Arabidopsis thaliana: one gene and its partner. The protein of the gene in region 1 interacts with the protein of each later gene in a pairwise test. Each region holds a gene or a part of one and is shown on either strand. Other genes may lie near its edges.

Region 1 (4,383 bases):
ACAAGATTTAAGGGATAATCGAACGGTCAAAATTATAAACTACGGGACAGATTTCGTTTTTTTTTTTTTTTGACAAGCGACGAAGATTTTTCTTTCTTTCAAATTGTGTTTTTCTCTATATTCGATTCGAGATTAAATTCTGAAATATTGTTCTTTTTTTTTTTTTCTCTTTTGTGGCATGAACATAATTGTTTTCTTTTGTTCTAGGAATGTCATTTGTCACTTTTGTTAATGCAATTGAGAAATTTGAGGTTGCAGTTAGGTATGCATTTAAAATAAGATTGTCTAGTAGAAATTGGACTTACGATTTATATGATCTTCATAAGTAAAAAAGGATGCTAACATATTTTAAAAAATCTGTTGTTCAAAAAAAAAAAAAACATATCTTAAAAAATCAATAAAATCTAAGGATGTAAGATATTATTACAAATAGTAGAGATTTATAACTTAACAAAAAATCGAGGAGGGACTAAAAAATAACGCTCGTAATTAAGCCCTAGTACACTTGATCTGTGAAAGAATCTGATTGTTCAAGAACTTAGACATGAATCTATAAGCCTTTTGAGTCAAGTGCACTCCGTCCCAACTTATGAACTTGTGTGGATTCTGACACACCGGAACTCCCACTGCTCCGTATGGCCTCTTTCCGTCGTAGTTGTAAGCTCCACCGGTCCCGCAACACGATTTCAAAGCTACACTCTTGTCGAATCTTTCACTTCGTAGAACGTATTGAAACGCATTGTAGTAATCTCCGTATACTATAGCCACGTCTGGAAACTCTTTTCTCAAAGAAGCTATAGCTTCTTGGAGTTGGTTATTGTGATCCATTGCGAATTCGTTGAGATGCGTCAAGCAACCGTTGTCGTCGTAATCTTTTGTATCTTTCACGGGAAAAGACGTCAAGTAAATCGGAAAACATCCCACTGGAAAGTTTCCCGGGACGACCACGTTAACCGCACCAGCACGGATCACCTCTCTAGCTGCGGCTGTGATGGCTCCAACCACGTGAGGGATGTAGCTTCTGATTTCTTCCATTGGTTTGCCTTGGAAGAAACCGTAGTTGTAGTCGTTGCCTCCTATCTCACCGACCATGAAAAGAGAGTGCTTCAAGCAATCCGAAGAAGAGCCGTGACACGTGGAACGTAGATGACCCTTGAACCAAGCAAGCTGCATGGAGAGAGGAGTGTTTGTTGCCGGAACGTGGAGATTTCTCTCGGAGAAGAAAGAGCTGTTGAGTGCTGTGCTTCCGGAAACTCCGAAGTTAACAAAGACGTTGTGTTCCCGTTGAGGTAAGGGTTTAGGAGTGGGAGATGAAGCCTGCGTGCCAAGTAATCGATCATTAGCAGTCCGTTAGATAGACGACCGGTGGCTTGGTGAAAGTATGTTTGACCGTATGGATAATTAGCGGCGTGAGAAGATCTGGCTCCAACAGGGCCGTTGCGGATTAAGTTTCCAGTGTCGGAGATGGAGTCACCGAATTGGTAGATAGAGTTGATAGGACATTGATCCGATGAATGAACAAGGGACACGAAGAGTATAAACACAAGAAGCGATAATGCTTTGGTCGTAGACATTGTTAGAGAAGTTTGAGAGATTTGTTTGTTGGTTTTAGACAAAGAGAAGGATGAGAGAATTTGTTGCCTATGTGTGTGTATATATAGAGTTTCATAATCTAGCTCCTAGTTAGTCTGTGATTTAGATAGATATATTCAATAATAATTATTGATAGTGATAAATTCAAGAAAAATATTTGATAGAACGAGATCTGAGAAAATATGTCAGAATTTTTATTTTATTTTATATTATTAAAAAACATTATTATTTAATATTTAATCAACTAGAATCAGGCAAAACGAGGCAACGTATCGAAAATTCCTCTTTTTATTAATATCAATATTTTGCCTAAAACAAAAAGGAAATAAATATTAAAACGCTTTCTTTACTTTTTTATTTTCACCTGAAAAATTCGAAATTAAGAATGAAAAAGGAAACGACAAAAAAAAAAGAATGAAAAAGGAAATTTCTAGAGAGAAATCTCTGTGTTCTTTGATTTTTCTTCACCTCATCTTCTTATAAATCATCTGTTTCGTTGCAGAGAGCTCTAAAAGAAACAACAACCTTTCTCTCTGATTATCTTCGCCATTTCTCGTCGAAATTAGGGATTTTGTTCATTAAATCTTCCTGATTTGGAAGGTATTTTCATTGTCTGCTTGAAAAAAATTCAATCTTTGTCGGTTCATTATGAGTAATTGGAGAAGACAAAAACCCAGAAACAACAACAGCAATAATTATAGTCGTCAACGAGGGACGACGATGACGCAATCATCATCAAAGCCACCTCTTGGTATGATCTCTGTTCTCTCCTCTCTGTTTTTTTTCTTTCTTAAATTTGTGATTTTGAGTTGTTCAATTATGTATAACCTTTCGTCGCTTGCAAATCGAGTTCCTTGATGTGTTTCTCATTGGGTTTTCCTCTTTTGTGTTCTTAATTAGGGTTTGTGTTCGTTAAGCAATGTTCGGTCTTTTAATCTCTTCTATGTATTTTAGGTTAGTGAAATTAGAGAATTTGTAATACTAATTGACTCTATCTTTGTTAGGTTTGTGAGTTTTTTTTAATCTTAATTTACTTATGTTTCCTTCTATATACTAATTCCTGCATGTACAGTAGAAATATATGAACTTTAATCTCTTCTATGTATTTTAGGTTAATGAACTTTTGATTCTTAACCCTCTGATTCTTGACAAGTTTATTGTTTGTAGCTTTTGCTTGATCTGTAAGTTATTCTTCATCCTGTGATCAGAATTTCTAACTCTTGGATTCTTATGTTTTTTTGCAGCTAATTGCAAGATCTCTGTTCCAGCGTGGGAGAAGGATTTTTGTGCTGTGATTGGTTCAGTTCCATGGTGGAAAGTTGTAGAGGCCAAGCGGTTTATGCACATATACGATAGAGTGGTCCAATGGGACGACTCAGCTGGTGAAGACGCATTCAAGAACGCTAAATCTCGTTTCTGGGCAGAGATAAATGGTTTAACTTGTGACTTATCTTTGCCTGATCCTGATGTTTACATTGATGATGTTGATTGGGATGCTGAAGTTGACAATGAGTTGATACTTGACCTTGAACGTGGTCCAGACCCTTTAACAGAAGAACAAGAGCATGTTGTGATACTCGATGCTTTGGTTTTATCTGGACAGTATGGCGGGCTTGGTTGGGGAACTGGTTGGGGTGACGCTGAAGGGATTAACGAGGAGAATGTTGGAAAGGGTAAACCAGAAAACTCATGGGGTGATCAGAAATATGATGGATGGAATGAAGATTCTTGGGGGATAAAGGAGAAAACTGAAACTTGGGATCATAACAACAACAACACCAACACTGATTCTTGGGATCATAACAACAACTTCAAAGCTGAAACTTGGGATCAGAAAAACTGCAACAACAACAGCTTCAACTACAAGAAGGTTGAGAATTGGAATGGTAGGGATCAAGGAAGAGAGAACAGAGGGTGGAGAAAGAGAGGAGAAGGGCGACATGGAGGAGAACGAGTGGAGGATTGTCGATGGAGGAATGGGAGAGGGAGAAGCAGAGGCGGGTTTCAGCAACATTCGGCGAATGCATGGGGTTGGACTGAATCCTTCTGAATCAGACACAGAGTCTCTCTTGATAAAACATTTTTTGAGGAAAGAGCTGTAGTATAGTAGGTTTAACTATATAGTGTGAGTGTGTTCCGTGTGTGTGTGTTAGAATCATACTGATGGCTCAAAATTATTTTGTCTAAACGTTTCAGAGGATCTTATCACTTAAAATGATATGCCTATATAAGTTTCTGAGTGATTTTGGAAATTATAATCTAATATACAACTTGTGAATGATAGAGCTCAATTCTTGAATATATACAAAACGCTTGGAGAGTGATGATCGGGAAAATGTACGAGTTTCTCTCATGCCTCTGGCTCGAGAGTTCCACTGTTGGTCATCTTCATGAACCTTTGGAAAGAAAACGAAGAAAGCTTCTGCAGATTTCTCCAAAGAATGTCTCTGCTACATTTTAAAAGATCTTGAGGACTTGTCCTGAAACATAATTGGATCTCAAACTTTTTTTCTACCAAGAATCTCTTACAAAATCTAAATCACAAATACCTCTTGTTTAAGAATATACAGATCGATACTCTTGAATATCAATAGATAACTGAGTCAAAAGAGAAGGAAAACAAAAACAAAAAACTGTTTCGCTAAGTTTAAGAGAAGAGACATGAATTAAGCTTAAGATAACAACACCTAATATGTGAAGTTTAAACACAATATATAAATGATGCATCCATGAAAAACTAACTATATATAAATTAAGCTCATAGAAGCAATTTCTAGTAAAAATAGAAAG
Region 2 (5,409 bases), on another chromosome or scaffold:
TTGGTATCATCAACACAGAACCTGGCACGACAATTAGAGTCACTAAGAATATAAGGATATGCACGGATTGTCATGTCGCAATCAAGTTTATCTCGAAGATCACGGAAAGAGAGATTATCGTTAGGGATAATAGCAGATTCCACCATTTCAACCGTGGAAACTGTTCTTGTGGAGATTATTGGTAATAATGAAGTGTGAAACTTTTTTGACTTCATCTTTTGTTCAGAGACAGAAACGACGTCGCATAGGGAACATATGTTTCATTACACTTATTGTAGTGTTCAACCAATTTATATATTTTTCTATCTCTATAATTTTCTTATAATTAGGAAAAATTAGAACAAATCATGTGGAAATAGACCTAACAATAAAGTATTGTTTTAAAAGTAAAGTGGAATTTGCATGAGTTTTTTTTTGTATTTATTAAACAAACAATATATGGAATGTTTGGACATAAATATATATGATCTGTTGTGTATACAACAACAACAGACAGAAGCTGACCCATGCATACAAAATTTTCACATTATTATTCATTGCCCATAATAAATCATGGCCATTGGATCCCTTTTTGGCACTATGAACATTCATTTTCTATGTAGTGGAAAATCGACTAGTCGTTATACTATTATAAAATATGTTCACTATATATAAAAACCAACAGAATGGATTTGATTGTAAGTCAGTTTTTTTTTTTAATACCACTAAATTATTGCTATTTTTTTTTATTGCAATGTCAATTGGTGATATAGTTCATATTTTTACCGTAGTGGTAAAAAACCCCGAAATTTAGTGTATACATAAAATAGGTATTATATTTCTTGGATCGTTTATATTTGGACTGTTTTTTTTGTCTTACGATTTCTCGATCAATTGTTTGTCCATGATCCTTTTTTCACTATTCTTGCCAATATTGTTTGCTTTGCTTTTCCTATACTTAACATTTCCAAAGGTGCAACTTGCCATAAATTTAGTCTGCGAAGAAAAGCAAAGGATTAGTTGTGCTAATCATCAAACTCTCTGTTTTAAACATTGTTGGCATTTGAGAAGTCGGTAACACAAAGCTTACTTTGCTTTTAGTTTTCTTTGTCTTGTCTTTTCCTTGAATTTGGTTGTGCTTGGTTCTACGTCGATGGTCATGATTTAGCAATTTTCTAAAGAAAGCAAAAACATTCAAGAAACTTTGGCAGCCATCCATGAATATTAAATTCAGCAAGTCCTAGAAATATATTTTGAATAGAGTAGATATCTTTTTTTTTTTGCTCGACAGAAAAAAAGGGAGAGTGGATATAGAGTGGATTTGGTTTATAAATATATACATAAAAGAAAAAATAGGTAAAAATATAGATTTTTTTTTTTAATGAAATTTGCATCACTATGATAAGAAGCTAAAACATCCAATGATCATAGTGTGAGAGAAAATTAAGAATATAGTGACAATTTTTTTAAGGTTTTTGTTTTTGGGTGAATAATATATAATAGGGTGAGAAAGTAATTTGATATATAAAAAAAATGAGTGGGAAAGTAAATTACTAAAATATTATTTAACAATAATTATTTTTATCTGTATCCGTTTATTTTCCCTTTCCCGTGACTTAAAAAATGTTATTAATTATTATGTGTATAAAGAAGAATGAGATAAATAAATAACATCCGTCAAAACCATCTGTCTCTGTTTTCTCATTCATCTCCTCTACTTGTTTAGTCGGTCATCAAACTATCTCTTCAAGTTTATCCTCAGAAATATACAAACTCCTCAGAAAATTCTTTCGTTTGGTTTGCTTCGTTCTACAATTTTGTATTGATGAGAATGTTATATTGAGTCATTAACCGTTTGATAAATCGTATTTGGCTCTGTAAGTAGTATTTATTGGTATTGAAACGATGGATCATGTAATCGGTGGCAAGTTCAAGTTAGGTAGGAAGATTGGTAGTGGATCATTCGGTGAACTTTATATTGGTATATAAAAAATCAATCAGTTTTTTTTTTTTTTTTTTTTTTTTTGGTTCTTTGTTGGTAATTAGTGTGAATTTTGATGTTGATTCACTTTGGTATGTGTGATTCGAAGGGATTAATGTTCAAACTGGAGAAGAAGTTGCTCTTAAGCTGGTATGTTACATATTCAATTTTCAGTTTTCCACTATTAGTGAATCTTGAAACTATGTTGTCACACTATACTTGTATCTGAGGTCATAAGTTTTAAGTTCTTTAGTTTTCTTTAGACTAGCTTTTGTTGAGTATGAACATCTTATTGATTCTTTTGTTTTTGTTCTCTATAATATAGCTGTTGATCTGTTCTTATACATTTCTTTGTTGGTAGGAACCTGTGAAGACAAAGCATCCTCAGCTCCATTATGAATCAAAAGTATACATGCTTCTTCAAGGAGGGAGTGAGTTTTCACTTTTCATTACTCAGCTCATTTCACTTGATGTTTATGTTTCCATTGGTCTAAGTTCTTTGGGTTTTCTTTTGACTAGCGGGTGTTCCGCATATCAAATGGTTCGGTGTTGAGGGTAACTACAATTGTATGGCTATTGACCTTCTTGGTCCAAGCTTGGAAGACTTGTTCAACTATTGCACTCGGAGTTTTTCTTTGAAAACTGTTCTAATGCTTGCTGATCAGTTAGTAAGTATACATACTCTTTCGAGTTCTTGATATCGGGTTAATGTTCGGTTGCGGGATCATTGCTAATGTTTTAGCTCTTTTGAGTATTACTTTAGATAAACAGAGTTGAGTACATGCACTCTCGAGGATTTCTTCACCGTGATATTAAACCGGATAACTTTTTGATGGGTCTCGGTCGCAAAGCAAACCAAGTAGGCTTTCTAGTTTCGTCTTTAGTATGTCGTATGATTGTTCTTAGCATCGAGTCTGGTGTGACGAGTTTTGGATTTCAACCTCAGGTGTACATTATTGATTATGGGCTTGCTAAAAAGTATAGAGATCTTCAGACACACAAGCATATACCTTACAGGTTAGAATACTTCCTTGTTGGTTATTTTGTTTGTGCTTCATTAGAAACTAATGTAGGCAAGTATTGATGTATTCAGGTCTTATGCTTGGTAATTTACTATATGCACTCTTCATGAAACTTTTTTTATAGGGAAAATAAGAATCTGACTGGAACTGCTAGGTATGCAAGTGTCAACACACACCTTGGCATTGGTGAGAAATGTTTCCATGTCACACATTAGAATAGCTTTCATTCTATATTTGTGCAGTAACCGTTAAGCTACTATTTTCCTTCTTTTGAAACATTTCTTATATCTTCTTGCAGAGCAAAGTAGACGAGATGATCTGGAGTCTCTTGGTTATGTTCTGATGTATTTTATACGAGGAAGGTAGGAAACTATCTTGGTTGTGTATTAATAGTGAAATCTTTAAGAAACATGAGATCCTTAAACTTGAGACGGAATACAACTTCTTGTCTCAGTTTACCATGGCAAGGTCTAAAAGCTGGTACTAAGAAACAGAAATACGAGAAGATAAGTGAAAAGAAGATGCTTACTCCCGTAGAGGTACGTCATATATCTACAATAGTGTTTTTGTATTGCGAAAAGACGATGTTTAGCTTTTCTTAAACTTTTCGATAAATATGATTTTGCTGTTTGCAGGTTCTTTGCAAGTCATATCCATCCGAGTTCACATCATATTTCCATTACTGCCGTTCATTGAGGTTTGAGGATAAACCAGATTATTCATATCTGAAAAGACTTTTCAGGGACCTTTTTATTCGGGAAGGTTAGAAACCTCTACTGTATTCTGTCTGACTGTCTCCTTCACCTCTCTATTAAACCGCTCATGAATTACATCAATTGTTAATGCCTTCAGGTTATCAGTTTGACTATGTGTTTGATTGGACAATCTTGAAATATCCTCAGAGTGGCTCTATTTCAAAACCAAGGGTTAGTGTTTTTTTTTTGCATCAACATATGATGATGAAGAAACTTTTAGAAACCGTAAAATACTCTGAAAATCTCATGTTTGTATTATATTGTGTCTCATTTCTATCAGCCAAATCCTAAACCAGCTCTAGACCCTCCAGGACCATCTGCAGAACGAAATGAAAAGCCTATAGGTATAACATTATTTTACATCCTGCAGATAGTAGACATATCTTACGCTGAAATGGTTGAAGTATAAACTCAGAAGTTGATTTCCTATTTTTGTGTAGTGGGGCAGGATCTACGAGAAAGATTCTCAGGTGCAGTTGAAGCATTCGCTAGACGAAATGTACCGAGTCATGGCATTCGCCCGAAGCACATTTTTTCTGATGATGCTTCCAAAGAAGTGGTTAGTTTTCTGTTTGCTATCTTTCTGTTGTGTAGATGACTTTAAAGTTTTCCGGTTGGTATCAATCATGAGAATCATTTTGATGTTTGTTGCAATGCACAGCAAGTGTCTGAAAAAACCCGAAATGAGATTGCTACAAAGATGGCAGTGATGTCTAGCAGCCAACCTGGCTCATCAGGTGAGCTGAGTGAGAACCGCTCAAGTAAACTTTTTTCAAGCAGTGCCCAAAAGATTCAACCGGTGCAAGAAACTAAGTTATCTGCAAGGCTTGGGCGTGATGACGGCCTGAGAAGCTTCGATATGCTTACTATCGGTTCCGGAAAGCGGAAATGAGTCACTCAAGAAAGCTTGCGGATCGGAGTTTGGAAGAATCTGAAAATGTGTAAACAATGTAAAACTGTCTCCCACTTTATGTGTTTATAGTTCTTCATAGAATTTTATAAAGTGGTATATGTAACTTGTAACACAAGTACTTTGTTTATATTAGTTCAAATTTGGTCAAATGCTTGAAATCTATTAATAGACGTCAAGTGTCTCCTGAAGTGTCTGAATCTAAAAATAAGGGTTACCCATGTTTGGTCTGAAGCTATCATTTAAGTTGAATTGTGGAGACAGAATAGACCATCCAATTTCGAAAAATTGATGATGGGGACACTTTGGTTTGGAGATTTCAAGAAACAAGCCTCTTCGTTTATTCAAGACAAGTACAATGTTGCTAGACTTGTCCTCACCGATGTTACCGAAGCTGAGTTGTGAGTAGACTATTAACTTCATTAATTAGCTAATTGATAATACTCCATTAGTGATGGTTAAATTTAACTCTTTCATTCTTAGGTTAGTAGAAGAAGTAACAAATGGTGATCCTTCTTCACCAGACGCTAAAACGATGACGAAAATAGCCGAGGCATCGTTTGATACCGTGGAGTATTGGAGAATTGTGGATGTTCTTCATAGAAAGTATGAATTAGTTTTGTTTCTCTTGAAGATTATTATTATGATTAAGGGATAGCTTAAGATGATGATTATGAAAAACAGGATTGGGAAAGATGAAAGAGAGATAAAGAATTGGAGAGAAGCGTACAAGGCAATGGTGTTGTTGGAGTTCTTACTAAT

The links. The genes of interacting proteins can lie anywhere in the genome.
Region 2: the proteins of AT5G03990 (region 1) and ckl10 interact in a two-hybrid assay, tested with the Arabidopsis thaliana proteins (one large-scale study listed by BioGRID).

The regions. Positions count from the first base shown.
Region 1 is NC_003076.8:1,073,716-1,078,098, forward strand, and holds AT5G03990 (FK506-binding-like protein), read left to right. Parts: upstream 1-1,955; 5' UTR 1,956-2,241; coding exon 2,242-2,344; exon of another isoform or gene 2,345-2,547; intron 2,548-2,837; coding exon 2,838-3,643; 3' UTR 3,644-3,834; downstream 3,835-4,383. Other genes in the region: AT5G03980 (SGNH hydrolase-type esterase superfamily protein), read right to left, coding at 490-1,317, 1,431-1,574; AT5G03995 (uncharacterized protein), read right to left, coding at 3,846-4,040.
Region 2 is NC_003074.8:8,349,163-8,354,571, forward strand, and holds ckl10 (casein kinase I-like 10), read left to right. Parts: upstream 1-1,640; 5' UTR 1,641-1,884; coding exon 1,885-1,960; intron 1,961-2,069; coding exon 2,070-2,110; intron 2,111-2,321; coding exon 2,322-2,391; intron 2,392-2,479; coding exon 2,480-2,628; intron 2,629-2,723; coding exon 2,724-2,819; intron 2,820-2,906; coding exon 2,907-2,977; intron 2,978-3,106; coding exon 3,107-3,168; intron 3,169-3,280; coding exon 3,281-3,344; intron 3,345-3,436; coding exon 3,437-3,521; intron 3,522-3,617; coding exon 3,618-3,744; intron 3,745-3,834; coding exon 3,835-3,908; intron 3,909-4,017; coding exon 4,018-4,081; intron 4,082-4,177; coding exon 4,178-4,296; intron 4,297-4,398; coding exon 4,399-4,629; 3' UTR 4,630-4,859; downstream 4,860-5,409. Other genes in the region: AT3G23330 (Tetratricopeptide repeat (TPR)-like superfamily protein), read left to right, coding at 1-185; AT3G23350 (ENTH/VHS family protein), read left to right, coding at 4,939-5,048, 5,131-5,253, 5,332-5,409. UniProt on the Arabidopsis thaliana protein: Casein kinases are operationally defined by their preferential utilization of acidic proteins such as caseins as substrates. It can phosphorylate a large number of proteins.